Coturnix japonica: one gene and its partner. The protein of the gene in region 1 interacts with the protein of each later gene in a pairwise test. Links are inferred from orthologs where the notes say so. Each region holds a gene or a part of one and is shown on either strand. Other genes may lie near its edges.

Region 1 (15,322 bases):
GGGTAGAGAAAGGTGATCTAAGTCTCAGTGTGCAGTCCTGGCCTTAGTGATTCTGGGCTAAATTGAATTTAATAATTAAATACAAAAGCATATCCTCTACCTCCAGATCTACAGATGTGCATAGCAGCCAGCAGGGCTAAAACATGTCTGGCCTTTATATCAGGGCTTTTTTCTGAGTCTGATCCCAACCAAGCAGACATATGCTTAACCTCAAGTGCATTACTTTGGAGAACTGCTGTATGGACACAGTTAAGCATAAGCTCTATTAATCACCTCCAGCACCCAATGACAGAACCTGGCCTTGGCCTCTCGTCTGCAGGATACTCTACTCAAGAGCTTGGCCTATGAGTTCAGTCTCAGCTGGAGGTTCTCAGCCTGCTTGCTGTTCCTATAGGAGAAGCTCCATCTTTGGTAAACCATTCAGTATGTAAAAAACAAATAAACTACCAGAGCCAAACTGGTATTTCCTATATATCATATGTTACGTTCCTTCTTCCTTCTCCAGTGATGAGCAGTTACACATTGGAACTGAGATATCTTTGTCATGACAGCCATAGACTTCCTGCAAAAACTTTTGGCTTCATTACATCAAGTTGCTTTTTTGTTTTTGTTTCTTTTCCCCCCTCATTATAAAAATATTCCTGAGGAACTAAAATCTATAATTTGCCTTTTTACAACTCATTTGTGGCTGGCACTTATGTCCTTGGTATCTATCTCATCATTCTCTGGGGCAGCAGCATAAGTCTTGCTTTAATGCTCTGCTATCTTCCTGTGAGAAGGAGGGAGGCAAATGTAGAAGTCATACATCTGATTTTAAGTAAGTGTAAAGAAACGTGCTGTAAGCCAAGGGACAAAGGAAGAGCTACAGGTGTGTTAACGCAGCTCAGACTTAACTGATGCTTAGTGAAGTGAGACCTCTGTCTTCATATCCTCTGTGTTTTAGGCACCAACAGGAAGAAACCGTTTTTTCCCCCATTACAAATGCACCTCACCAAGAAAATAGATATTCCTTAAAAGATGTTTGAAATAATGACTTAGAGATAATTGGTTTATAGATTGACCTTTCACCTACCTGTTCTACCCAGACCATCCTTTATTGGCAGGAAGAAAAACTAATAGAGCCCCAGAAACTGTTACACATTGTGCCTTGAATGTCTGCATGCCACTTTTCACTTTGCTCCAGTTCCCTACATTGAATTGTCCTTGAGCTTGTTGGGGGAAAAAAGTCGAGTTCACTATTTGTCATATAATGAAAGCAAATCAGAAAAAAGGCAAATGACTGTAGGTTTTCTGCTGAATATAATGTGGGTTATAATAGTACTAATACAATCTGTATTAGCTGGAATCCATCTTTGCATTCTAAAATCCCTTACTTTATCTCCAGTTGTCTCTGAACCCAAGGCAGGAAATAATCCTTTCTAAGATGAAAAATGGCACAATTCTACAAAGAACCCAGATTTCCCCATCCAAAAACAGGATGGCTGGGATAACAGCTAACAGTCACCATGCAGCAAAAGGATGTAATTGCTGCAGGGAAGGACAGAAATTCTCTAATACAACGAGACTTTCAAGTGCTACAGCAGGGATTATTAATATTTTATAAGTACCAACAAAGAGGCAAATGTGACATCCAAATCAGAAATCCAAGAAGACAGATGTATGAAGGCTGCTCTGAAAGTAATGCCTCCTAATTTATTATGTTGGCTCATGACAACAGAGGTGTATGTTGGTGGTATGGCAGCACAGGCTGAACCTTCCCACCAATATCCTGTTACGTTTTGTTGTCATATGTGTGTCACTGAATTCCTCCATGCAGAAAAAAAATGGCACTCGCTGATATTCACTGCTGAATGAATTTATGAAGACACTTGCTGAACATTTATGGAGACCAAGCAATGGATGTGAGCACAGTGAGTGGTGCATTTCAGCAGTAGCAGCAGTGACAGTAGGGCACCTCTGCTGGTGCAGATTCTTACAATTCGCAGCATGCAGGTGCTTGTTCATGGCTGGCAAAAATGCAGAGCTAATATTGGTGACTATGTGAAAAGGAGTGTTTCATAGTTAGGAATTTGCTCTATCAAATAGTGCTATTGTACACTTTGTATCTGCTGTAGTTTCCATGGAAATAAATAGGCGTTACTTTCAGAGTGACCTATGTATATCTCTACAAATATTCACATGGAATTTTACAGCAGGAGGAGTAACAATTAAGAACCTGGTTTAATTTTCTTCCAATGTAGAAATAACAGTGCATTTAGCAAGCACAAGCCGTCCTGCCCTGCAAGGCAGAAGTGTGCGGGAAACTTTCTAAAGACACCATTGCAGCATTTGTTTAGGAGTAGAAGAGTTTAGACTGCATAGGCATCCTTTACTCAGGCACCTCCTAACAGCACACTCTGCTCTGCACTGTTGGCACCCATTTTTAATCATGTTTGGTGAGGGTGATCTGTCCACTGGATGCATACTGCAGATTGTCAGCTAGCAGAAAGTAAGCGCAAGTGGGATTACAAGCTGCTCTATCTTACATGCGATCCAAAAGACATCTGCTGCCTTTTTAACATATTTATAGGTAATGACCCCGGGGAGCCAGATCTGTTCTCAGGACAGACTGGCATCCTGTATCTGTTTTGTTGACTGCTGTTGCATTGTGAATATGTTTTTGTCCCCCGTCTAAACTCTCCTGTTAGAGAAGTGAAACCTTAGTACTAATATTCCCAAATGCTATTCTGGCAGTACCTCATTTAAATTCCATGGATCATATACAATACCTTTGTCCATCTTCCTACACAGTTCTAGGGGCCTGCCCCAGATCCACTATACCTTAGGGTTTTCTCAATTACACCAGCACATGAAATCTGTGAGCTGCTGCAGGACACAGTTGCATGAACACAGAGCTGTATCTCCTCATAACAGTCATTCCATCTTCACTCATTTATTTAGATGACCATATAGCAAATAAAGAGATAAAAGTACTACGCCAAGAAAAGAGTGTTTAACTCATTTCTGTGGATTGGCTATCTCATTTTTTAAAGTATCACTGGGGCTGAAGGGCTCTGACTGCCTAGAGAGAATTGAGCTTTTCACAGCAAGGCAATGACATGTCTAGGCAGAAGGCAAATCGCCTCCAGCAGAAGGTAGCAACTCAACCAGTGAACGTGCATCAGTGCAGCTGGAGCTGGTACTCAGTGTAGCTGCACACTTCTGTTCATAGCTTTTTGTCTTGATTATTTTAAACAAATGTTTTGCTTGTTTCCTGTTACTCCATGTTAATCTTTGTTATTATGGATCACTTACCTACTTGGGTGGCTTGCTACCAGGACTGATGTAATGATGCTACCTAAGAATATGTAAGAATTCATACCTAGCTTGCAATAGGAGCAATTTTATGTCTTATAAACTGCTTCCTTTTTAGTGCTGGATTTACAGACTTGTTACATACATCTCTTTTTGCATACTGCTATCATTCTGACTCAGAAGTGTCCCCAGACACCACAGTCAGGAACCAAGTTTTGGGTGTCATCAGGGCAAACTGAGCTCTGGCCAACAGTACTCTCTGGCTCTCAGAAATTTATTTGTAGCAGGTCCTTTGTTTCTCATTGAGAATTAGAACACTGAATCCATAGCCAGAACCAAAAGGAGGTAAGTCTATCAAAGATGAACAGAGTAGAAGGCAGATCCCTAACACAAAATACTCCCAGGCTGGAAACAAGTCAGCTTACATAGGAATCCATGCAGCCTATGACAACAGCTAACACAACATCAGGCCACACAGTGGTATTAATTCATCCACATAAGCTGACACTTTGTTGCAGCAGAACAGAACAAATGGAATATATGTGTTAGAGTGCAGGTTACTGAAACAGTCCAAGGTCAACTGGATGGCAGACAGTAGCCTTGCTACTATGTGAGTTACCTCTGCTGTCACTTTGCTGATAGATGCATCTTGTCTCAGGCAGACTGAGAGCTGACAGCTTTGTTTTTAGCAATATCATATATAAAAGTGTTCAGAATATATATATATATAAAGCCCAAAACGAAGATCCTCAAAGCCATGAGTAGGTTACACAGCTTTGTATATGGATTGGCAGCACTGCCTTGGAAAACCCATTGGTAAAGAAGGCTTGAACAACTTAAAGAATGTACTCAAAGCTGTGGAGTGAGTCAGTGGAAGAAACTGGAGTCAAACAAGTGCCAAAACACCTTGGCCTATGTGAAGGATAGCTGCTGTGACTTGGCCACAAAACATCTTCATAGCTTTGAATGAGGTTTTATTTGCACTGACACAGGAAGATCAGACATGCTCCTACAGTGAATGGCAAGGTAAATGTCTGCAAGGCTTTTGTGCTGTTAGGATTAGCACCACTAACAAGCTGTTGAAAAGGAGTGTTTTCTGTTCTCTGTGCTGTAAAAGTGACTTGGTACTTTTGTCCACTACCTATTTGCAGCATAGGAGCTGCTGCCAAAGAGTGTGGCACATCTATGCATGCACAATCTCAGCCTTAGCTGCCTATGCAAACAAGGCAAATGCACTGGCAAGTGCAACTGACCGCTGTCTAAATGTACATGTACTGTATTCTCATTTTCACCAATGATAAATTATGTACCATTTCCCCCTACATTTTGGAAGAGAAATGGAATAATTATGTAGGGGTTTTTTGTTTTTGTTTTTTTTTTTTTTTTTTAAAGTAATACCTCCTATTTATTTCCATGAAAACTACAATAGTTACAAAGAGCACAAAACAGTATTTGATAGAGAAATTCCCTGCTACAAAACACTCTTTTCCAGCACAGTTAGCACCACACATTACTCACTTTCACCAGCCGTTAACAAGAGCCTGCATGCTGCACTTGTAAAAATCTGCACTAGCAGAGGCAACCACACATCTCAGTGTTTCACCACCCATCAGCTCGCTGTGCTCACACCAACTGTTTGGTCTCCAGAAACATTCATCAAGCATCAAGGAACATCAGTGGATGCAGTTTTTTTTCCACACAGTGGAATTCAATTCCACCCCTTTGCTTCATCTGCACTTCAGTATCAGACACCATGCTGTCAGACTGCCCCTCTGCTGCCATCTGTCACATGGCTGCAAAATATCATGGGATATTGGTGGGAAGGTTCAAACTCTACTGTCATATCGTCACCATCTGCCTCTGAAGTTGCAAGCCAATGTTATAAAACAGGAGGCATTACTTTCAGAGCAGCCTTTGTAGAATGATAAATTAAATAAAAAAACACTTTTTCCTGTCACTATAACATAATTTGTAATAAGGAATGTTCAGACTTCTTCCGCTCAAGTGCCTTGGAGACTCACCTCAGAATCTGTGTTTACATCATTAACGATTATACAGTTATGCAATGTACAGTTACACAGTCAATAGGTAAACAGAGGTTAAATCAGATGCTTCATATGAAAGATTATTGTGACAGATATAGGGAAAATACTTACCAGTGTCGAAGGTTCAGAGTAAACTCCAATAAGGAGCAATCTCCAGAGAAAGAGACCCTGCCTTAGTGGTGGTCAGCCCTTAAATGAGATCTGGGAGAGGTGGAGTCAAGCTCCATCCCTTCCGGTAGCTCAGCTGAATTACCTTCACCTGTGCTCCCACAGCTGACTCATTGCTTGCCTCAGGTGGTTATTCAGAGGTTCAGGCTGTGATCAACAGCTTCCCTAACACTGATAGATTTCTCAAGGGATAATAAAATACTAAAGAGATAAGAGCTGAAAATAACAGTCTAATTATTAAAAACTAAGAAACTCCAAGTTCTGATATGGCAATCACCACAGAGTAAAAGACAGCGAAGACAAAAAGTACAGATGTGTGGGAGATCCAACACACAGGAAATATACTGAACACACTTGAAATAAAACTGCTTCCAAATCCTTTTACAAAAGAAATAGGTAAGAGTTTTGAAGGAAAAAAAAGGGGGGGGATCAGATCATCTTTTACTAATCAGGCTTCATTCAGTATTCCCTGTCTTTTTCAGTGTGATAACTTTAAAACTCAGCTAAGCCTGTTGTTTCTTTACATAAATATTGACTCTTGGATAATGTGCACACCTACTTTCTTTATTATAAATTCAAGAGAAAAAACATAAGATGGTAGTATTCTTTTTGTCACTCTGTCCCAAAAAAACAACTATCTTTGGTCAACCTTCCAGCACAGGAGGAGTTCAGTCATTTTCTATTCTCACTAAAAAAGACAGGCTGACATTTCTGTACTGAAATCACAGAAAAGTATGAAAGAACCTCATCTAGATGAGTTAAAGAAACCTGATTTGTCCTTCACTACAGGCCTTCATTCCAGGAGCTGGCTACTGTTTGACATTTCTGGTTATTTTAATCAGTCTCCCTTGGAAAGGCTCAAACTGTTCATTAAACTGCATCAGATGAATCACTGTTTTGTTCCGTGAGTCAAAATCAGGAACACAGTGGTTGTCATTTCACGTAAGGCTGTACACTCACGTGTCTTGTTCTGGTAGCAATTAGAACCTGGTGCTTATGGAGTTTAAATGGTGTCTCAACTTATGCATGGCTTGACTCCCAGATTGCTGAATGGGAGATTCTAAAAAAAAATCTACAACAGATTTTCAGCCGCATTACTTGAATTTTGAATTCAATCTCCTAGAATCTTGCAATGCTTAGTTGTTGATTTGGCCTTTTTAATGAAAATCCATGTCTGGCTCTTTTGGAAAGAATAGCAGAACAGAAGACACTACCTAGAGTCCCACTCTCTTCATTGCACAAGTCTAAAATCTACCAGTTACCAGCCAGCTCTCTAATCTACAGGCTCTGCAGCTCACCATGTGTGCTACACTGTCAGTCCAGTTGAGACTGAAGAGGGAGGGCAGCATTTCACATGGTGAAAGCTGCTGCAGCAAATGAGGATTACCGTTTTCTTTCTCTCCTATTACTGATTGAATGTCTCTATCGCATCAATAAGCTCATCACCAGATCTTCAAATACAAGGTCACTGGTCTTCTTTAAATGGTGATTAAGAGAGGACACTACTGACTCCTGCAGTAATTAACATTTGCATTACACAAGAGGCTATTCCAAATCAGTCTGTAGCTATGCGGAACGTACAAGAGCACTGTAGACCTCAATTTCCTGCCTGTAAAATGGAAACCTTTCCTCTTAAATTGTTTTTTAGGGCAAGAGGTTGTGAGACTGTGGGTGGTATGTTCCCAAAGCCACTACTGCACTTAACTAACCAGAGATTTCCTTTCCAATATTTATTTAGCGATCCTGTAGGCTAACAACATCGTCTTGTGTTTAAAATATGCCAGAGTCTCAAATGCAAACATCCAAGGACAGTGTTTTCAAAGTCACACACTATGTGTTTTCATCTTGAGCAGAGTTAAGATTCAGAAAACAATCACTCACCGTCTTGATGGTTACCTGAATCAGCTGGAGACTTGCTCCGGCGCATAGGGGCTGGACTCTTTGCTGAGCTCTTCTGAGGGGTGGGAGATGACTTACTGCCCGTGGCAGCTGCAGGGCTCCCTTTCATCACCCGGCACTCTAAGGAAAGAGACAGTAACCATGGTTATGTCCCTCCCTACTCTCACAGCCTATGGGCACTAGCTGTGAAACACGCATGGGTGGCCCAGTTGCTTTCTGTTTCCAAAGAGCTGTAGAAAACTTCAACACTAGGGAAAACTGGCATTTCCATATTGTCTTCAGGCTAGAAACAAGACATTTTAGGGACAGGGAAAAAAAGGAGAGCTTTGCTCCTCTGGAAGAGGCACTGAGACTGTACATTAAAATCAGGATTCTCTCCCTGGCAGGGAACATCTTAGTACCTGTGTCCTGCCAAGTGTTTTCTACCCTTCCCCTTGCCTTGATGCCCACCAGCTAGAGACCAAAATGAAAATGGTCAGAATTTAGTGAGCAAAGAACAGGTCAAAAACCAATTAATCTGCAAAACTCTCCCATGAAGACATAGCAGTAGGAACAATGAGTACTGTTTATGCAGGTGCATAAAACCAGCAAACAGCTCATAGCATGACTTAAAGATAAGAGGTGAATGGGACCCGTGACCTAAGAGGCTTTTAACCTGTTCATGCTCTCTTTCTGTGTTTTCACCAAGTTGTCCTTTACAGATGTGGAAAGCAAAGACAACAAAATGGTTTTATAAAATACACCCTCTGTTCTAGTCAGCCATCTCTTTCAGAAAGGTTTACATAAACAAATGCAGTAGATTCATGTACTTAATGCATGAGCAGATGAGAGCCCCAACTGTGTTTTGTTAAAAAAAAATAAACCAGGCAGGAGGAGGGGAAAATGTAAACATGATCTACAGTGCTGTGCAGAAGGGAACTGAAATGCTAACAAATCTGTATGTGTTCCAGGAGTTCAGGCATATCAGGTCTTCAAAACCAGGGTTTATTTACATTAAGAATGGATAGAAAAAGCACTTTGCCTTCCCAAAGTTAACATCTCAGATAAGAAGTTGGCAATAAAAAAGAAATTCCCTCTCTGTCCAATTCTAACTGGTCTCATCTCCTATAACCAATTGTCCTCACATGAAAAACAGGTCCTTTTTAAAGACGTGAATTAGATGTTTCCTGTACAGGCAAGTTTTTATAGAAAAGCTCAGCTCAGCATGCATGGGCTGCACTGAGAATTCCCTTGACTGGCTTTCTTAATGGGAATTAACTGAAGCAGAATACGGTAGATGGATACATAATTGGTCAATTGAAAACAAGTTGTCTGACCTAAATGTATTTTAGTGTTATTTTATTTATATATCAGAATATATATGAAAATGTAATTGCCCTAAATCTTTTCCCCAGGCTTTCCTTACTCTCAGACAGTCAAGAGTCGGTCTCTTCTTCCAGATGGGATGATTCCCTGTGCTCCAGGGATGTCGCATGGTAATAATTAAACCCACATTAAGTTTATTCTCTCTCCTACTACATAGATTCTGGAAACTGTAAATTAGGGATGTAAATTGTTTTGTTTTGTTTTCTTAAGGTACTTGGCTTCTCATAGATGATGCCACAGAAGGTCTTGTAGAGCTTCAGAAAAGAAATATACCCAATTTTTTTATCTCCTTGGTTCTAAATAAAAATGTTTGATGAGGCACTCTGATAGCCACCTGAAAGAGTGTGCAAATAACTGCTCCTGGTGTTAATCAGCCTAATGAAAACATGGGGGACAATCATCTTCAGGCACTACAGAAGTAATATTTATCAAGGCTTTTGCATGTAGCTGTTTATCAGAAACAGTGTAACGTTTGGATCAGCAATGTCAGTGCACCAGATACGGCTTTCTCAGAAACCAAGGGACTTTAAAACAGTGAGTTACATCAGTATTTAGTCATCTGAATTGATCCTTAAAATATAAAATCAAAAAAGTGAAAATATTTTGTTGCTTTTTTTCAAGAGCTTATTCAATTATTTTTTTTCTCCCCAAAGGATAATTCCTCACAGAGAAGCTCAGCTCTGCATTTACCAGCATAGAAATGCTGACTCTGATGAATTTCTCCAGCTCAGCCATCAGCAAGTGTCAGCACACCAAAGGCAATTACTGAGCATTTGTATGCTTTGCAACGAGGTAATAAATGTGGACATCTGATTGTGCTGACGTCAGTATAAGCAGACCTCTTAGCATTGTGGGGTGTGACATTTCAGTGTGCTGATGCTGAAACCAGCCAGTATGAATGCGACAGAGCAGCAACATCTGGAAGGTGCTTAGCAACAGGGATTATAGGGCAGAAGCTGTGGTGGGCAGTCAGAAAGAAAAAGATGACATAATCCTCTCATGGTATTTCTCTTTTTGTTTCCTGATGTCCTGCCAGAATGAACATAATAGCCAGCAATTCAAGTACATGTCATCCCAATAGGCAAGAGAAAGTATCCATGACAGAAGAGATTTTAATAAGTGACATTCATCCGAAAGACCTCAGGTTCTCTTTGCAGCATCTGATTCATAACAAGGAAGAATGATGGGTGGATAATGGGAAAACGCTGCTGGCTAATAGCTCCTCATCTGTTTCTTGGGAAGTGCAGGGTACCCTTACTCTCATGAAAATACAATGGGGAGCTGTAGATGCTCAGTACCTGCCCAACAGCAAGCTTGACTTATTTTTGTTAGAGAAATCTAAGCTGAAAAATGTAGTAGAAACCAGGAGTGTAGGCAGAGAGCTGAGCTTCCCATGAAGTTGTTCTGCTAGGATTACATGCAATTTGTTTTATATGTGGAGCTCCCTGTGGAGCTGACTCAACTGCAGACTGTTAAAATAAAATATGAAGCTCACATTACAGATTGCTTCACCAGCCTGATGCAGGCTTTATTCTCTGTCTGCAAAGTTTCAGCTGACCCCTGGAATCTTTGAAACACCCTAGACCACCAAACGGGTTCATCTGGAGTACACAGGTCACAAGTATCAGCATCAAATAAATTTAGCCTTGCTAAGGAGTCATAAAAATGCAGTTTAGAGGTTGCTTTGCCTACTGATATACAGCAGAATATACAGTAGAAAAATAGAGATTAGTCTTCTACTGCTTAGTTCTTAAATAAGAACAGATTGAAGAACAGAGTGTGTTCAACATTACCGCTTTCATCCAGAGAAAAGTCATCCTGTGCATAGCGGAATTTCTCAGGGCCACAGGCGATAAACACATCATCATCCCCAAAGAAATCGTGGAGACAGGTCACCTATAGAGAGAGCAAAGTCATTCATTTTAGTTTTAATTGGCAACGTTCTGACATGGCTCAGTGTAAATTTAAGCAGGAAGGCATTGCCTCTCTGCTACCCCTGAGTCGCACACTTACATGGTCCTGCTTCCTACAAGTCAAGCAGAACAGTGTAATTAAAAAGAAAGAAGAAGAAAAAGAGAAAAAAATGCATCCACCCTGCAAAGTCCAATGAAGTATGGAATTTCCAATCCTTCAGGAGCCGACAGCCTATTAACATATCCTATATCCATCCTAATGAATGACACAGGCATTCCTGAACTGATTCAGAAATAATAAGCAGGGTGCCCCCACGCTGGGTTAGTAAGCACGGCTGTCACCATTGCCCACGCTGATGAACATTCCAGTACCAACAGAGTCTAGAAACTCAAGGACTGCTAAGAAGAGTGGCTGGGCACAGCATGTTCCCACAGAAGGTGTCTCCAAGACCATTAGCAGGTAATCCTGGTCTAGTGGTTGGCAACACTGCCCATGGCGGGGGGGGGGGGGTGAAACTAGATGGTCTTTGAGGTCCTTTTCAACCCAGGCCATTCCATGATTCTACAAATCTTTTTGGACCTGCAGAGCTGGACAGGAAACCTTCATCCCACCCCCCCTCCCTCCTTTCCCATGTCCCTCCAGCACTTGTGCAGCAATTGGGCCTGAAAAAGTGGGAACGCAGCTGGGCACTGTTTGTATCAACAAGGACAGCACTGCTGGTGGCCATTCAACATTCATTTCTCTAGGTGCTACACTGTGAATAACAACATATTCTGATATTTACACAGTCACAGTCATGGCAATTTGCACAGTTACCAGTGAAATAATGAATGCAATTACACAACAGCAGCAGGATAACTGTGCTGAGGGTAATTCCACTGGAACCAGTGGTAATTACACATTAACTCATGATCATGCTATTGTGCTGTCTCCAGTACCTAAAGTTAATTCCAGTCATCTCAGCGCAAGGACATGTGGAGAATGTGCACATCATTGCTCTTCAGGGAGAACCTTAAACACCCAGATTTGTAACCAGTATATTGCAGAAAATTAATCAGACTCCTGGCAAGCTGACAGGTGCTCTTTCGAGGCAAAAAAAGATGATGCTTTTCCATCTTCACAGAATGCTCTGAAAACTTTCATGAGATGCAAAGTAACACTTGTTTCTAAGAGGGATAAAACACTTTGGAAAATCCAACATCAAAACTTCTGTGTTCAAGATGCAGGTGTTCAATAGAGAAACAGCCTCTGTAGGCTCAAGGGACATCAAATTGTGTGTACACAACTGACTGCATGGAGTTTAGCCCAAGGTCCTGGTCTCCCAGCCACCTACTGATTAAGTACAGTGTCAGGAGGAGAAAAATGTGCTAGTACATGAGCATGGGGCATCTCCAGCATCAGCCCACTGACAGCACAGCTGTGCACCTGGGTGAGCCCAGAAGCACAGACCTGCACCTGCTAGAAATAAGTAAACAAAACAAAACAAAAATGCAGCCTTTTCACAAGACCACTGCAAGTGCCTGCAGTACTGGCACCAACATCTATAATAGAGGTCTCAGATGGTTGAGGTCCAGTGTTTTGCCATGTCTGGCCACTGGGGCCTTCACAGAGGTCATATACATCCCAAACAACTGGAGAGAGCCCTGGAGACAGCAGTGGAGAAACTTACTGTAGACAGCTGAATTTCCGTATCTATGGATCTATTGGAGCTGGACTGTGAAAAGTTAATTTCAAGCTCTAATAAATAAAATATAAAGAAGGCTTTTGGCTATCCTAAGAGGGCTCAGTATTTCACACTGGTTAATATAATGCATAATTAAAGCACTGACTAAGAGTGCCAGCTCTGTTTACAATGCCAAACATTAGTGAAAAGCCTCCTTTTCATATGTGCACAACTTTCAAAATGGAGCAAGATGAAATCTGCAGTGGCATTGATCAAAGGCAGAATTTTCTTTACAAACTCAGCGAACTGCAATCTCTATTTGCCTGAAATTAGGATGAAAATAGTTAACACATCACGTATTGAGAACTCCCCCACAGAATGATGACATTTCAAACGAGCACTTGGTATTACAGTCCTCCCTGAGGGTGCATGCCACTGATTCATTTGCAAATAATTGGGTTTGGCTCAATACCCGCACTCCCATCTGAATTCTAAGTACTATACGTATGCCACAGACACTCGCGGTTTGCTTAGCTCACTCTTCTGTATGGAAACTGCTGTGCAAAGCTAAATCACAACATAAGGGTTCAAAAAATCCACAGCCTTTTAGATGAAATCAGAAAGAACCCAGAGGGGCTTTCACCCTCTCCAGGTCACAAGTCAAAGGGTATTCTTTGTCCTTGAACTCCCCATTACCGCAAGCAAAAAGAAAATTCAGGCAGCCAAGGAGGCCCTCAGATCAAGTGTCTTAAGTGTGACAGATGCACTAAGACAAATATGATGACATGTCAAGCAGAGATACTTGCAATTCACCTTCTTGAATTCTTGCCTCTTCAGCTAGTAGGTTAATATGTATGTTTTATACTTGTGAACAACTGGCAGGCTAAGCACTGGAGGCTGATAGTTAAATTGCATAACTCATTTGTTTTGTTCCTGATACTGAGGAAACAATAACTTTTGTATTTGTTTTATTCATTCCCTTTTGTTTCCTGTTGTAAGGAAAGAAAGACAAAATCCAACCTCTTTCTCATCAAACAATGCAAAACATTGAAAATTCAGAAAACAACGTCACTTCATGTAGTTCTAAGTTAGGCACTTTGCTTCTGTTCACTGTACATAGTATTTGCTATTTACCGGTTGTTTATTAAACTTAAATCCTTGATATTACTGTATGTCTCTGGAGCACACCCCGTATGCATCGCTGTCTATATAAAGTTGCTAGAGTAGACTTGCTTTGTGAAAACATGCAACTTAAGTGCTTGGTCTTACTGCAAGGTCTTACTGCTCCCAAGCCAGCCTGCCTAAATGTGGGCAGAAGAAGGAAAACACCAGGAGAGCAGCCCCAGATATACACATCCCTGCAGGGCATGGAGCCAGGAAGAGGGACTGTGAGCTGCTCTGCTGGGACAGCTGCTTGGAAACCTCATCAGCCAGTATGGAACACACCAGGGGTGTCCTTGCCCAGCAGTACTGAACCTTTACCTTGCATTAACTGGCTCAGGGGGTTTTCATGACTCCAGAATAACCTTAAGAATCGTCTGATCTTTACTCTTTGAAAGCCTTTTTTCTCACATTTTCTCAGGAAGAAAAAAAAAAAGGAATTCTACAAGCCTCTCCCCAGGCACTGTAGACTATTTTAAAAGTACATGTTCTGCTTTAGCTTACCCTAATCAACTGCTCTAATTATATCCAATAATTAGTCTGGAACACCATGAAAACCCTGGAAAAAAAATTACCCCAATGGGTAACCTGAATATCATTGTTTTAAATGCTTCCTTTTGCTGTTAGCTATCATTTCATTGAAGCACAGGGCAGAAAAAATGATAGCAGTCTGCTAGTGCATACACCTGTGCTGCTACCTGACAATGGCCACTGTGTGGATGGTTCTTATCCTGCACGATTTGCAATGGCACTGGCATTGCAAAATTAGTAAGATGTTGTCTTCTTGAATCTGCAAATTTTGTTATTAATTTGATCTATAGTGGAAAATTAAACCTGTGTATATAATTACAGTAGAGAGAATAAATAACATTGGTTTACAAGCCTTTGTTTAAAGAAAGATAATATTTAATTTGAAATTCAAGACTGAAACGATAATATTGACATAGAAAGGATCACATTGCATGAAGTGTTTTCTCTCCATTTCCTGCAGCTTAAGCAATGCCAATAAAGGAAGTTAAATCTTCATGCTCCAGTAGATGAAGTGCAAATTTATGTCTCACAAAGTCATTCTTTCTAATAGATTTGCTGGTAACATTTTTCTTTGTGTCAGGTTTTGATGTTTTTTTAAACTTTACAGTACACTTTAGGGAAGGAGCAGAAGTCGGTAGAGATCAAGAAGTTTTAGGGAGCACCAGACCATTCGCAGTTCCTTGGGTTTGTTTCCTCATTAAATGAAATCCTTCTCTGTGTATATTAGAAAAACCTTCCCTGAGAGAACAATGTCATTAGGATTTCCAGGAGGCGATTTCCGCAGTGACTCTTCATTAGTGTCTGCTGCAGCCATTTTAATTGTGGAAAGGAAAGATACGACCTTTGCAGTGATGCTGAGCCTTCCAGTTCATTTTAACACAGCAGCTGTAGAACAAACCATTCCACAAAATGGAGCTCGCTGTGAGCTTATGGTTGGCTGAAACGGTTTTGGTGTAGATAGTCTTAGTTCGCCTGGAAAGGGAGCAGTCAATATGCAGGATATAGGCGTGCAACTGTGAATAACCAGCTCTCCCTACCATCCTCCATGAGGCAGCAGGAGTATTTCAAAATTCTAATTCGGTAATAAACGAAATAACTGAAAAGAATTACAGATCAAAAGACTGAAGGCTTAGTCTATGTCACCTACCGGTGCAGAACCTCCTGAGCTTTATAAGGGTGTTATGCTTAACAAGCACTTTTTGTTCCCTTTCATAACCTGCAGAATGACAGCTTGCAGAGTATGCATGGCTAATGTGTTTCCTCACTGTCACTCTAGTACTGG
Region 2 (15,779 bases), on another chromosome or scaffold:
TACAAAACAAGCAAACATACATTCAGAACCCTAAACTATTTTCATAATTAGCATACTTTAAAGCATTCTATGTCAGACAGATGCATCCAAAGTTGGTTTTCTTTTCAAGATACACAACCTGCATTAGCTGGAGCAAACAGCTCCTTGCATTATTGTTCACACCTAATGCAACAGCTTGACTTCTGCAGGTTATTTATTTAAATGCTTTCACTTTTACAAAATATTTTAGAAAAAAAAAAAAAATAGGAAATTTGCACTTCAGTTTCTCATTCTCGAAATGTGTTACTTCACGAACGTGTGGGGGACAACTTCCCAGCTCAGGAATTAGGCAAACCAAGCAGAAGCAAAATGTTACTGGAGCTTCACACAGGGTCAGACTGGAGGCAGCCTGCACTGCAGTGACCGTGTCCTGGCTGAGTTCATGGTAACATGGACCTGGAGATGAGCAGGTCGCTGAACTTCAGCAGAGAGAGATTCCAGCTAATTAAGGAATTACTGGATGAGATCCCCTTGGGAAGCTGTCCTGGGGGGGAAAAGGAACAAAACAGAGCCATCAGCTCTCTATGAACATATTTCTGAGAGCACAAGATCTCTACATCCCCAAGTAAAAGAAATCAAGCAGAGGAGGCAGGAAACTGGAGTGACTGAGCAAGGACCTGTTGGTCAAACTGAGGGAAAAGAAGGAAATGCACAGGCAGTGGAAACAGGGACATGTGGCCTGGGAAGAATACAGGGATGCCATCTGGATGTGCAGAGATGGGATCAGGAAAGCCAAGGCATGGATGGAACTGCACTTGGCAAGGGATGTGAAAACTAACAGGAGGGGTACATAGGACAGAAGAGACAGGCCAAGGAGAGGGTATCTCCTCTGAATAGTGAGAAGGGAGCTCTGGCTTCGACAGAGATCAAAAAGGCTGAGGTACTCAATGAGTTCTTGGCCTGTTCACTGGCAGCCAGGCTTCCTGTGTCTCTTGTATCTGTGCACCTTCACATCCCTGAACCCCTGGGCAGCAGCTGGTGGGGACAAAATCCCTCCTGCTGTAAGAGAAGAGCAAGTTCAAGACCACATGACAACACTGAACATGTACAGGTCCATGTAGCCAGATGACAAGCACCCCGGGGTCCTGAAGGAGCTGGATGATGTGGCTGCTCAGACACTCTCCATCATTTTTGAAAAGCCAGTGTTGACAGGTGAAATCCCCAGTGACCCATTATTTAAGGAAGGAAAGGAGCCATTTTTTAACCTAGGAAGACTGGGGGGAATTAGAAGCTGGTGAGCCTCACGGCTGTGCCTGGGAAGATCGTGCAACAGATCTCCTGGAAGCTACGTTAAGGCACAGGCCAGACAAGGAGGTGATCTGAGACAGCCAGCATGGCTTCAAAAAGGGCAGACTGTGCCTGACCAATCCGATGGCCTTCATGATAGAGAAACATCAGTGAACAGGGAAAGACCAATGCCTGGACTTCTGGAATGCCTCTGACGTGGTCCTTAGCCACATCCTTATCTCTTAATTAGATAGTGAAGGGTGTACTACATAGTGGATAAGGAAATGGATGGATGTTCACAGCAAGATGGTTGCAGTCCACTGCTCTGCGTCCAGCTGAAGGCTAGTCATGAGCGGTGTTCCCCAGGGATCCATCTTTGGACTGGTGCTCTTTAACATCTTTTTCAATGACCAAGATACTGGGATTGAGGGTACCCTCAGCACATGTGCTGAAGACACCAAGCTGAGCGGTGCAGTAGACACAAAAGAAGGAAGGGATGCCATCCAAAAGGACCTGAACAAGACTGAGAATGAGGCCTATGTGAACTTAATGAGGTTCAACAAGGTCAAGTGCTACACAATGATAGGGGCAGTCCCAAGGACATGTAAAGACAGGGAGAAGAACTCCTTAAGAGCAGCCCTGTGGAGAAGGACTTGGGCTCCTGGTGGGCAGAATGTTGGGCATGAGCCAGCAGTGTGCGCTTGCAACCCAGATGGCCGTATGCTTCCTGGGCTGCATCAACAGAGGGGTGGCAGCAGGGCAGGGAGGAGACTGTCTGCCTCTGCTCTGCCTTTGTGAGGCCCCAGCCAGAGTACTGTATTCAGGCCTAGAGCCCCCAGCACAAGAAAGACACAGAGCAGGTGGAGCGGATCCAGAGAAGGCCATGAAGATATCAGGGGGCTGAAGCACCTCTCTGACAAAGACAGGCTGAGAGCTGGGCTTGTTCAGCCTGGAGAAGAGAAGGCTCCAGAGAGATCTCACTGCAGCCTTCCAATACCTAGAGAGCCCTACAGGAAACCTTGGGAGCGACTTTTCTTCAGGGATTGTAATGGTAGGACACGGAGTAATGGCTTTACACTAGAAGAGAGTAGATTTAGACTAGATATTATGAAGAAAATTTTCACTATCAAAGGTAGTGAGGCACTGGAACAGGCTGCCCACAGAAGCTCTGGATGCCCCATTCATGGAGGTTGGATGGGGTTCTAGGCAACCTGATCTAGTGGGTGGCAACCCTGCCCATGGCAGGGAGGTTGGAACACGATGAACTTTAAGGTCCCTTCCAACCCAAGCCATTCTATGATTCTGTGAGACAACTACACTCTCACTCAATCCCCACCCCTCTGTTTTGCAAAGGAAATTTTATGTAGGGACCTTATCCCCATTGAGCCCCAAGTCTGCATGTACATAACAATAACGTTTTACGTATCTACAGACTTCTGAGGACCTCAAAGTTATTTGCTAACAGTTGTCTAATCCTCACAACACCCCTGTGAGGTAGGTATGGTATTATCCCCAATTTATAGAATCAAGACTTTAGCGTGTGGCACAACCACACACAACTGTTCACAGACCTACGAAAGCAGCTTCTCAGCTTGAGCAAAATAGTGTTAATGCTCCTGCAGTGCTTCGGAGAGTTAAGAGTTTGTACTGGCACTCTCATTCAGGCTGGGAGGTGCGAGCAGTTAAAGCAAAGTGCTAGGTAGGTTGCTACTCTGCCACCTCAGGCAGGTCGTTTTGGAATGTTTATAAAGGTGGCTGGACTGGCTGAACCGTTTGCCACACTTCAGGCAGGCATAAGGCTTCTCTCCCGTGTGCACACGGATGTGTTTCTTACAGTCCGTTAAGGTCAGAAAAGTCTTGCAGCAGATCTTACATGCATATTTGCGTGCACCTTCTACAACCAAGACATTGTGCTCAGATAAGGCTTTCTTACACTTTGAAAGAACATCTGCAGATGCCCGCGTCAGCTGTGGAGGACCAGGTTGTGAAGGATGCCCATTTTCAAAAGAAGTGGTCCCATTGATGATCAGCTGGGAACTGGGTGAGTTATCCTGCAGCTGGGAGCTCCTGACAGAGGTTACAACAGGCATTTTGGGGGCTATGCGGCGGTAGCCAGGAGAGCTACTGACTCCCCCTCTTATGGAGCCTATCATTGCCCTTGAGAGAGAATGCAGGCCTAAGCCTGACCCTGGAAAGTCCATACCAAACTGTTCTGCAGCCCGGTACCCAGAAGTCTGTACACAGGGGAGACCCATCACATCCTGCATTGGTCTAACAAAATGGGACTCTGCAGGCTCACTGAAGGGATTCTCAACATGAGAGACTGTGGCAGATGAATGACCACCAGCAGGTCCTGACTCTGGACTCATCAGGAAAGAAGCATCACTGTCCATTCTGCAGTCACTTGTTGTATTTGGAATGTTGTCATCAGTAGTTTGACTAGCACCGTAGCTGCCACCTCTGCCTTTATTCAGAAAATTTGAGATACTGAAAGTAGACTTGTGTTCCAGGTTATTTGACACCTCCATAATATGGATATCTCCCACCCTATCTGTAGTAGACTGCGGATCAGAAAAGCTGCGATCACTGCTCTCAGGACTCAGCTCTATCTTCTCTGCACTCACAACTCCTCCTTCCACTTCAACAGACTCGCTGCCTTCTGCTTGGGAGGTGACATCACTCACCTCGTCCTGAGGCTCCGGGGAACTCAAGGGCTCGGATTTAACAACCACCCTCATGTGCTCTTTTTCATTTATGCTGACCTCTGGATTGTCACACGGGAAGTTGTTTTTCTCAGATGTAGCCTCCTGGTCAAAGCTGGTTTCCACTTGTGTTGCTTGCGATGCCATGGACATCTGTGAAATGTTTCCTCCACTGTTGTCAGACTGGCTGGGTACTTGAGTGTCTTCCTGAGCACTGAAAGACTGATCAAACATAATGTTATTATCCTCCTGGTTATCAGTGACAGCATCAGCCTTAGAGTTGTCCACTATCTTCAGTGAATCTGGTGAAAAGAAATCCTCCCGTGAATGAACAACTGACTGCCCGCTCTCTGGAGCCACATCAGAAACAGCCTCATCTATGGCAGGCCTCATTCGCTGCCTGGCCCGATCTTCAGAAGACTGCTTACGCTTGTGGAGGCGGCGAATAGGAAAAGCAGAGCGCTGCTCTATGTTGCTTCTCATCGTGGAACTCATAGTGCTTGGCTGCTCCTCTGAGCTCTGAGTGGAATTCAACGCAGAGCTCACAATGCTCAGCCCAAGCTGCTGAAGCATGAAAGACCTTTGAATGCGTGCGTTTTGCTCTTGAACCCTATCGCTCGGTGGAGACATCGGCAGTGTCCTGGTAGTAAGGTAGTGTTTGCATGCTTTAACTACAGAGTTCAAATGCAAGTGAGATGCAGCCAGCAAGATATCCATAACGTTGCTCTCTCCAAGCATAAGTGTAGAAGTGTACATCATGTCTATGAGAGCAGCAAAGGCTTCTGCTGTCACCACTTCACTATCCAGCTGAATCATATTCATGCTTTGATCTCCTTCTGCTACAGTGAAGAGAGCTCGGAAATGGGTACTGCATGCTGCTAAAACAGAGCGATGGGCTTTGAAATGCCTGTTTCCCACCACAATGACGCAGTCACAAAGTTGGCCGTGAAGCCTCTGGTAGTTGAGCTGCTGAAAGATTTGCTCAAAGTGTCCCGGAAAATCCATGATCCTATAAAACAGAAGAGAAGAAAATATTAAAAATGGCTGAGGTTCTATTTAAATCACAGTGGGATTGGGTTTAAAAATGAAAGAGGATGGCTAAAAGACGGATGAACAATAACCGGTTCATCAACTGCCACATTGTTGCTGTATCAGAACTAGCAGTCTCCCAAAGGAACACATGGGAGAGAAAAACAGACTGTGGTGTAGCTAACAGCATAACAGCTACCCCAGTGCCAGACTTATCGTGGGCAGCTCCACTGCAAACTGCACAATGCCATTCATTCTCCTGTTAACTTCTGTCCAAACTCTAAAGATATTCTCCAGTAAGATATTTAACCCCAGTTTAATTAAAAAATACAATTAAAAAAATAAAAATCTAGTCATTAGGTCATGCAAAATCTGACAAAGCATTCCCTACTTCTCTCAGCTGCCAGACTGGAGAGGAGCAGCAAGATGATGTTCCCAAGCACAAGATGCAGCTGTACTCACCGGCCTACCACTCCTCTAAGGCACACAACACTTCACAGGTATGAGCTGGAGGAAGATTTTGGTGTGTATTGTACTACACTAGGAACCCTTCTCCCTGACTAAAAATAATGGAGCTTTATGAAAACACAGAAAAGCAGGAATTCCTGCCAGCAGGAGTCAGAGATGGTTGAGAAGCATTTGCCTCAGACTTTAATTGGTTCCTAGGTAAATTAAAAGCTGTAGGAAATTGCATTTTATGCCTTCTAACAATGCTGAGGGTCCAGTCTTACTGAGGCATCAAAAATCCCTTAATTCAGCAACACAAAGGCTGCGATGTCTGAATGCCTGAAGTAAGCAGCGTGATGAGATTCAATAAGTACTTTGTCAATCTCCCTTATCCCTGCAGATTAAGATATGTAATAAAATTGAAGAGTTTGAAACAAAACTGTTCTTTTAAGATGCAGGAATACAGATAAAAAGTGATTTTTATTTATCTCTCACTACAAATGTATATTTGAAAGTAAAGCAGGGCATCTTCAAACAAAAACGGTATCAGGACAGAGATATTTTAGATGGCTTTTATTTCTGCACATTTTCTCTAAGAGCACTGTAATGCATGGGAAAGTGAGGAAATCCTTTCTGCATTCCTTCTGAATGACAGAAGAACCAGGCAGCAGACCCTGAAACGCAGCGACTTCGGGCAACTGGACAAAAGGATCATAGAGGAACTGCAAAAACAGCTACAAGCCTCAGTAGGCAGAATCTGAAATTCCATAGAGGACACTGCTGCTCTAGTAACCAGTGCTGCTAAACAGCTGCCTGCCTTCGCACGTCAGGCTAAACTAATGACCTACTTTGTTCCACCCACCACCATGCTATGACTTCCTCCTCTGTAGTCTGGAGGAGGGCTTCTCTGGAAAGTCAAAAATGGTCTGCTGAACATCTACTTATTTGTCTTCTTTGCTTGCTTCTGAGATGGGCCAGGTGCTACACCAGAGATAACACGCTGCCCATGGCTTCAGGAGTTAAAGCAAGGCCTAGGGAGAGTTTAGGAAGAAGAGGAGAAGCAGGCAGGGAGGCCCTGCAATTGCCCCAACACCAAAGAACTATTATTTCTTCCTCTCCTTTTAGACGACCATCACTGCTGTAGCTGTTTATGCTTGAGGGACCTGGATGTTGGTCAACTTCCTTTCAACTCACTCTTCCTCCTGCAAGGAGTAGAGCTCCAGGGAACCATTTAATATTCAAGGATGACCTGATCGGTGTACAGAGCTGTAGACAAGAGACCCTGCAGAACACCAGGAACCCACCAGCACAAGACACAGAAGCTCCTTCTCCTATAGGCCGGAATTAGCACTACTTTTCAGCTACAACAGCCTTACAAAATGTGTCAGTGTTGAACCACAACCACCACAAAAGCAGCCAAGGCAGGAGAGCTTCAGTGTGCTGGTGTTCTGCAGGGTCATACGCAGCCTCTGGCTAAGGGTGTTTGCAAGATGTAGACACTTTGAGGCTTTCTTGGGCTGTACCATGTCCCAATGTTCTCAGTGCCCATCCCCACTGCACTGCCTGTGTCCCTGCAGCCCTGCCTGGACTAACAAAGTACACTCAAGGCTGCAGAGGTGTTTCCAACCTGGCTTGGGGCACCCACAGCTTCTCTGGGCAGCCTGAGCCAGGGCCTCACCGCCTCATGAATAAAGAATGTTCTCCTAAGACATAACCTAGGTCTCCACTCTTTCAGCTTGAAGCCATCAGTCCTTGTCCTAACATTACAATCTCTGCAGAAGAGTCAAACTCAGCTTTCCTGTAGGGTCCTCTAGGTACTGGAAGGTAAATGCAAAGTCTCCCCTGTGCCTTCCCTTCTCCAGGCTGAACATGCCCAGCTCGCTCAGCCTTTCACTGCAGGGGGAGCGCTTTACAGAATTACAGACAGAAGGAAATGGGACCCCCAGCTTTCTTCAACACTTCCAGCAGGTTTGATCACTTGAAGCACAACTCACTCTCTGACCTAACAGCATTTTCAAACTGCAGGAAAAAAAATAGAGGATCTTTAGTTAGCAGCAGCTTAAATGAATTCTGGGTTTCTTCCATACAACTGAAGTAGTCATCAGTGTTACATTGCATTCACATATGCACTAATATGCCAAATGCCAGCTGTGAAAGGCATTCTTTGTGTGTGCCTGAAAATGACACAGGAAAACACCAGCAATTAGCAACCTTGATGACTGTCAATTTAACTCAGAGCAGCTCATCTGAAGTTTCTGCTTTGCCAGGTGTTCATCTCACAGCATTTGTTTCCCAGTGATCAGGGAGGATGAGTTATTACTTGCCTAAGAATCAGAAAACTGTACTGCAAAAGCTGCTGCTGATTGCACCCACCTTCCAGGGAAGAGATTACTTTGTAATGTAATATGCTCTCATCACTTGAAAAGTATTAACAACCCATATTGCAACCTATAGCAATACTAGCCTATCAATAAGCACTAACAGCCTAGCCTTGTCAGCTGCAAAGAGCAATTCTAAACGGAGCAACTGAAAACTTTGTTAAAAATGCTAGATATTTCTTAGACATTCTTGATTATCTGGAAGAACTGTCCAACTTAGCTGCGAGATCTGGTTTAGTGTTTGCTGTAGCTACAATATTGGGGTGACGGTTGGACTGGATGATCTTGTAGATCCTTTCCAACCTGGTGATTCTGATTCCCCAGTGATTCTGACAGTGGCTTTGTGAGAGGCTTTAAACAAACTCTAGGCAGAAACTTGCTGAAGAAAACTGTTCTTGCCACAGAAGTGACTGTAACAGAGTAACAAGGCCAGCTCTACAAAGATTGCATTAGTATCCTGTCTTCAACCTAGCAAAGTACCTATATCCACATTGCTGATTCAACCCACCACTGTGTTGCTTTATATAAGAATGGCTGAATGATCTGCTTATGGTGATCCAAAACTCACTGAAAAAACTCCAACCCTGTCATTCCACACACAGAAGGAAGTAAGTCTATACAAATGACTTACAGGGCTCTGTGTATTTTATGACATGGCTGCTGAGCGAGGGCCTGCATACCACCCTCATGTAAATCTGCACCAGCAGAGGTGACATCTGTCACCACTGCTGAAACGCAGCATCCACCGCCTCACTGTGCCCACATCCACTCTTTGTGCTCCATAAAAGTTTAGCACACATGAAAATGCATTGCTAATGGTGGTTACCATGCTGAAGAACAGTGCTTGGTAACGGAGCATTTGCTCTACCAAGTGATCTAACTGTTGTAGTTTCCACAGACATAAACAGGAGGCATTACTTTCAGAGCAACCTATGTAGCACACACAACGATGTGAAACAAAAATATTTTAGTAAATAACAATTGCCATGATTTTCAAGTGTGGATGCTGAATCAAACTCCTGAGCAATTCTGAAAGGGTAGAGGAAGAAATTAAGCACATCTGGTCAGCTCCAAGACACAACTGCGTTCTGGACTTGACACAGACATCAGTGCTGACTGACCTTTCTCCTGTAACAGACAGGCTTACGGCACAGCAGCAGACTGGCTCCCAGCTTATCCACCACATGGGTCTGTCAGCATGAGACAAACCATCAGCTGCAAGACGGGTGTAACAGATGCCCCACACCATTAGAGAATCACAGAATTAGCAAGGTTGGAAAAGATCATCTAGTCCAACAATTCCCAATACTTCCAGGCTAAATCATATTCCTCAGCACCACATCCAAACATTTCTTGAACACTCCCATGCTCGGTGACTCCCCCACCTCCCTGGGCAGTGCATTCCAATGCCTGAATACTCTTTCTGAAAAGTAATACTTCCAAATGTCCAGCCTGAATCTCCCCTGACGCAGCTTAAAACCATTCCCTCTAGTTCTAAGTTCCAAGTTAGCAAGAAACAGCAGGTAGGGACAGAGGCGCTGTCACAGAATCACAGAATTGTAGGGGTTGGAAGGGACCTCTAGAGATCATTGAGTCCAACCCCCCTGCCAAAGCAGGCTCCCTACACCATGTCACACAGCTCGGCGTCCAGGCGGGTCTTAAATATCTCCAGAGAAGGAGACTCCACCACCTCCCTGTGCAGCCTGTTCCAGTGCTCCGTCACCCTCACTGTAAAGAAGTTCTTATTAAGGAACTTCCTATGCTGTACTTTCATCCCATTACCCCTAGTCCTATCCCCACACACTACTGAAAAGAGACCAGCCTCACCACTATGGCCCCCACACCTCAGGTATTTATAAACCTGGATCAAGTCCCCTCTCAGCCTTCTTTTCTCAAGGCTCAACAGACCCAGTTCCCTAAGTCTCTCCTCATAGGGGAGACGCTCCAGGCCCTTCACCATCTTTGTGTCCCTCCACTGGAGTCTTTCCAAGAGATCCCTGTCTTTTTTGTACTGGGGAGCCCAGAACTGGATACAATATTCCAGATGAGGCCTTAATAGGGCAGAGTCGAGTGGGAGGATCACCTCCTTTAACCTGCTGGACACACTCTTTTTAATACACCCCAGTATGCCATTGGCTACAAGGTGCTAGCAGCGTGTTAGCACCTCCCCAACCCAAGTACCGTCCTCCACATCACGGCTATGATGAGCAACGACATGAACGTGAGACAGGAGGGCCTAACCCCAACCCTAACCCTAACCCCAACCCTAACCCTATAACCCTATAACCCTATAACCCTCCTAGCATCACACCAGGACCCCCTCACACCCCACCCCTCGTGTAACGCATCCCATCGCTCTGTCCCTCCCTCCAGTGACCGCAGTGGGCACCGCCGCCGTTACAGACCCGCTCCAGGCTCCTCCTTCAGCACCAGTGAAGCAGTGCGGGCAGCGGGGCCGGCACACCGCCTGTTGTTCCCGTGCTGTTCCCCTGTTGTTCCCCGCTCACACCGGGCCCAGCGGCACCGAACCCGCCGCGCTACGACGCTCCGGCCCCGCGCTCCACCCCCGCTCCCACCCTGTCGCCGCGTCGGCCGGAAATGACGCCATATTGACGAGAGGATGTGACGTCATCTCGGAGCGCCCCCACCGGAAGTGCCGCCATTACGGCGTGGCGCCTGGCCTGTTCCTGTGTGTACCGGGTATGGCCACCGCCACGTGGAGATACCGCGGGGATCCCGAGCAGGAGCAGCCGGCAGTGCTGGGTGAGCAGAGATGCGGGATGGGCGGTGCGGTGCGGTGAGGTGCTGAGGGACTCACGGCCTGTTTTATCGCCCGTAGTGACGTTCTCCAATGGGCAGCTGCAGCGACCCGACGCCGTGCGGTTCTCGCTGTACCGGAGCAGCGAGGTGTCCAACCCCAGGAAGAGAAGGCGGAGGATCCTGGTAAGGCCCGGCATCACCGGGGGTGGGATCTATGGGGTCTATGGGGTCTCTATGGAGAATCTGTGGGGTCTCTGTGGGGAATCTGTGGGGTCTGTGGGGTCTCTATGGGGATCTATGGGGACTGTGGGGTCTCTATGGGGTCACTATGGGGATCTGTGGGGTCTCTGTGGGTCTCTATGGGGGTCTCTATGGGGATCTATGGTGTCTATGGGGGTCTATGGGGATCTCTGGGGTCTCTATGGGGTCTCTATGGGGGTCTCTATGGGGTCTCTGTGGGGATCTGTGGGGTCTCTATGGGGTCTCTGTGGGGATCTGTGGGGTCTCTATGGGGATCTATGGGGTCTCTGGGTCTCTATGGGGGTCTCTATGGGGATCTATGGTGTCTATGTGGTCTCTGTGGGGATCTGTGGGGTCTATGGGGTCTCTATGGGTCTCTGTGGGGTCTATGGCGTCTCTATGGGGGTCTATGGGGTCTCTATGGGGATGTATGGGGTCTATGGGGTCTCTATTTGGATGTATGGGGTCTCTATGGGGGTCTATGGGTCTCTATGGGGTCTCTGTGGGGGTCTCTTTGGGGTGTATGGGGTCTCTTTGGGGTGTATGGGGTCTCTTTGGGGTCTCTATGGGGGTCTATGGGGTCTCTATGGGGATCTAAGGGGTCTCTATGGGTCTCTATTGGGATCTATGGGGTCTTTATGGGGATCTGTGAGGGTCTATGGGGTCTCTATGGGGATCTCTATGGGGGTTTATGGGTATCTGTGGGATCTGTGGAGTCTCTATGGGGATCTGTGGGGGTCTTTGGGGTCTCTATGGGGATCTATGGGGTCTCTATGTGGGATCTTTGGGGTCTATGGGGTCTTTATAGGTCTCTGTGGGGTCTATGGGGTCTCTGTGGGGATCTGTGGAGTCTCTGTGGGGATCTATGGGGTCTCTGTGGGGATGTATGGGGTCTGTGGGGTCTCTATGGGGATGTACGGGGTCTATGGGGTCTCTATGGGGATGTACGGGGTCTGTGGGGTCTCTATGGGGATGTATGGGGTCTATGTGGTCTCTGTGGGGATCTATGGGGGTCTGTGGGGTCTCTGTGGGGATCTGTGGGTCTCTATGGGGTCTCTATGGGGATCTATAGGGTCTCCTGGGCAACCTGATCTAGTAAATGTGTATGTTTGGTGGCCCTGCTAGGCAGGGGGGTTGGAACTACATGATGCTTGAGGTCCCTTCCAACCTGGGTCATTCTGTGATTCTGTGAAAGTCCTAAAGATCATCCAGTCCAACCGTTCTCCTATTACCAATAGCTCCCCCTAAACCATGTCCCTCAACACAACATCCAGTCGTTCCTTGGGCACCCCCGGGGTGATGATCCTCTGGTTTGTAATGTTGCCTTCCCACAGCTCTGTGCCACTTGGCTCATTCTGACATCTAACACTTGTTCTGTAAACCGAGAAAGGCTTTGAGTAACTGCATCAAGCAACCTTAAGCACTGCGAGTAGGATGTGCAGGTGACTGGTACAGAATGCTCCTTTCCACTGCCTCTTTCACAGACTGCTCCTACTGCTTTAAAGGATGGTTTATTTATTTACTTTATAAAGTATAAAGTAAATGGAATATGTAAAGTAAAGTAAAGGAATATGATTTAGCTGAGAAATATCGGTAATGGTTGGACTAGATGATCTTGTAGGTCTTTTCCAACCTTGATAATTCTGTGATTCTATGGTGACCGTGGCAAATTTGAGCTTTGTGTCACTAGAGATACAGTACATGCAGGAAAATATGCACTTTCAAATAATGCACTCTTCAAGTAATTTTTTTCTTTGTTTGTCAGGTTTCAGAAACTGAAAGGCTTTCATACGTGGGGAATAACTTCAGCAGTGGATCTATGAAAAGCAACTCCCTATGCAGGTATGGGTAGCTGGCAACGCTGTGGCAGAAACAGGGAGGGGAAAGCAGAGGAACTGCACAAATAAAGTATTTTCTGTAGCCTTCTGTATTGGGGACTGATGAGTTCTCATTGAGACCATGGTGTGAATGGAGAGGATTGGGGCAGTTGATATAATCTCCTGGCAGCTGCACCATTTTGCATGTTGTGATCTTACACATAAGTGGAGTTTAGGTCTGCTGGAGGGAAGAAAAGTGAGAAGGTGTCTGCACATAGCTGAAACCTATGGACAACAGCATTATTCCTTCTTAACTGTTGTCTCGCTCCAATTTAGGAGTGAGGCAAAGGTTCTTTTAATAATGTTATGCCCGGCGTGAGATTAAGAAGAAGAGCATTCAAATGTTGATCCGACCAGTTTATTGGAAATAATAGACAATTGAGGGGATGGGGAAGGGAGAGTGACGAATGCCAAAATTAGGGTGATGGGGAAGGGAAAGTAGGCGATAGAAAAAGGTAGAAAAGAGCAAGAATTACGTTAAAGCGGGGAATAGTCACCTCCTGGATGCAGCAGCGTCCCGTAGCACGTTGTTAACGTTGGTCCGGGGCAAAATAAGCGTAGGGGAGAGCAGCAACGGAGTAGCAGGCTGCAAACAGCAGATCGGTGAATCGCAGAAAAGATGGTCAGAGTACCGTGGTCTCTAGAAGCAGAGTCTCGGGCAGCGAGGTCCCTCGGAGCAGAGTCTCGAGCAGCAATCCCAGAAAAGAGAATAGGCAGCAGTAGGACAACGGTGGAGGAATCTGAGGTCGGATACCTAGATGCCCACAAAACCGTGGTTTGTCCGTGCCCTTTTTATCCTTCTTTCCAGCCTTCCAGAGATTTCGGGAAGGCTCGGGTCAGAGTCCTGTGACTTCCTCAGAGATGTCAATCTTCCTTGAGATGGGCCAACAGGAAAGACCACTTAAGGGCCATTAGTCCTCAGGGATGGCCATCTTCCTTGAGATAGGCCAACACAAAAAGACCACTCAAGGGCCATTGATCAGTATCTTATCTCCCTTTCGTAGCTCCCGGACTTGTCCATCTCCTGTGTGTCTCAGACAAAGGCAGTCCTGGAACCTTGGCCAGGACTTGCCTGAACTTGTCCATTTCAGCAGACTTTGAGACAGTAATGTAAAAAGCATGGCTTCTTACAACTGTCAAGATCAGTATCTTGTTCAGGAAACCAGTGGGTCATTAGTCACCGTTTAACTTCGGGGCCACAGTCTGGTGGTGCTGTATGAATTAATAACTTGTCTGTGCCTCATGCTGCAATGGGAAGCCTTGGTGAAATCACCAGTTTTCACATGTCCTGGTTTCAGAAGGTGAACTTTGTAGCCTGGAGACAAATCCCGTGAATTCCTAAGAATTATTTTGCATGGGGGATCATTCCCATCCTCTAGCAGAATGACCTTTTGTATAGGTGGAAAACCAGTGTAAAATCATCTCACTTTGTCATATCTAACCTACAGAGCTCTGATGTACGTTTGGTGTGGGTGTCAGGCTCCTGTTAGCAAGCGCTTTGCCCCATGAATGTGCTACATTCATCCTGCAATATTTGCTCGTGGTTTATTTCTACTCTGACTATGGGGACTACTTAAAGTAGAAGTGGGGTGACACAACAAAGAGTAAACAGAATTGCAGAAACTGTTAAGATGAGGTGCTTCCAGCCATTTAATGTCCTTATGTTAGTTCTTTTGAAAGGGTCGTGATATAGATTATTAAATTTTTCTTTCCAAATACAAACTAGATGACATTTAAAGGTCCCCTCCAACTCTAAGGATTCTATGAGTCTGTTCTATGATTCTGTGGTGAGGAGCAGCACAAACTATTTGGGTTTGCTCGTCTGAAGTGTGAAATGAAAAAGATTTGACTTGCTAGAAATTAACCTATTCTAGAGATTTTAAGTTCATTTTTCTCAGCTCTGAGAGTCTCATTGGTTATCACTTGCACTTGTTCTCCCCAGGTATTTTCTTGGTGTTTTAAACAAGGATTCTGGGCAAATGGAAGTCTATAATGCTGAAATATTCAACATGCAACCTTTACTGTCAGGTAGGACAATTCTTTATTTAACCCTTTTGTGCCAAGGTCACAATGTCCTGGAAATATGTGTGCATTCAAAATTGACTAATTTGCTACTGACAGCATTGCACTCTGTTTCCTCCTAGTCTTATTTCTGCTGTGCTGCCTTAGGATGAGGGAAGAAGGATACATCACTCTGTCCACTCCTGGGGAGCAGTGTGGCATGAAGAAAGGGAGAATGAAGCAAAATCATAGCTAATATTGAGGGAAAGGTTAAGCAGAGAGCTTGGGGGTGGGGGGGTGGAAATACCAGAGTTAGAAATAAAGTTGTTACTGCTTAGAATAATTGCAGCCCTTCTCCTGCTGAGAGAAGCCTGGAAATAATCAAGTCAGTAGACTGAATCATTCACTGAAAAAGAAAGCAGCTTTTCCCCAGCAGAACTGCTTTTAATTACTGAATCTAGTGGAAATAATCCGAAGAATATCATCTTTAGGGAACTGTTTTCTTTTGTGGGCAACAGGAGCTTAGTATTGCAGCAGCCTGTGCATTATGCTTTTAGATTTTGTAGCAAAAATTGTCCTGCCTTTCCCTCTTTCTTTCAGGTGCATAGTCTTTCATATTCAACATATTCCTTTGTTAACAAAATCCTGTAGAGAAGATCCTGAATTGGTGTACCTAATCCTTCTGTAATTTATTAAAGGGGTACCAAATACATGCACTTTCCTGCGAGCTGCAAGCCAAACATACTAATTTTTATTCTTTTGTAGATAACTTTATTCCTGATGACACAAGGGATTATCAGAATAAATCCTACAGGGAAAAGGTAAAGTTGAAACCTGATATCATAATGTGCTATAGTTATCCAGCAGACAGTGGTAAATACTTGTCTGAAACTGAGATGTTTGATTTGTTGCAGGACAAACTTGTGCAGGGTCAGCATTCTTTCTGTGCATTGCAGGTTTTTGAGATAGCATGTTGTTAGTGTCTAGCTTAGCAGTATTTTCCTAAATACTTTAGACTTGTCTACAGTCCCAGGTAAAACATGCCCTCTTGCATTTCTTTGTTGTATGCTTTGTTTGTA

Evidence for each region.
Region 2: the proteins of DCX (region 1) and ZBTB5 interact in binary tests that used the Homo sapiens proteins (3 or more experiments, as listed by UniProt). The two-hybrid records come from large-scale screens. The link is inferred for Coturnix japonica from reciprocal best matches to the Homo sapiens genes DCX and ZBTB5.

What each region holds. Positions count from the first base shown.
Region 1 is NC_029519.1:12,539,279-12,554,600, reverse strand, and holds part of DCX (neuronal migration protein doublecortin), read right to left. Parts: intron 10,668-15,322; coding exon 10,565-10,667; intron 7,527-10,564; coding exon 7,389-7,526; intron 1-7,388. UniProt on the Homo sapiens protein: Microtubule-associated protein required for initial steps of neuronal dispersion and cortex lamination during cerebral cortex development. May act by competing with the putative neuronal protein kinase DCLK1 in binding to a target protein.
Region 2 is NC_029547.1:66,745,024-66,760,802, reverse strand, and holds the start of ZBTB5 (zinc finger and BTB domain-containing protein 5), read right to left. Parts: upstream 9,138-15,779; 5' UTR 9,072-9,137; coding exon 8,944-9,071; intron 4,978-8,943; coding exon 2,949-4,977; 3' UTR 1-2,948. Other genes in the region: POLR1E (DNA-directed RNA polymerase I subunit RPA49), read left to right, coding at 10,525-10,585, 10,662-10,765, 12,588-12,664, 14,642-14,727, 15,466-15,521. UniProt on the Homo sapiens protein: May be involved in transcriptional regulation.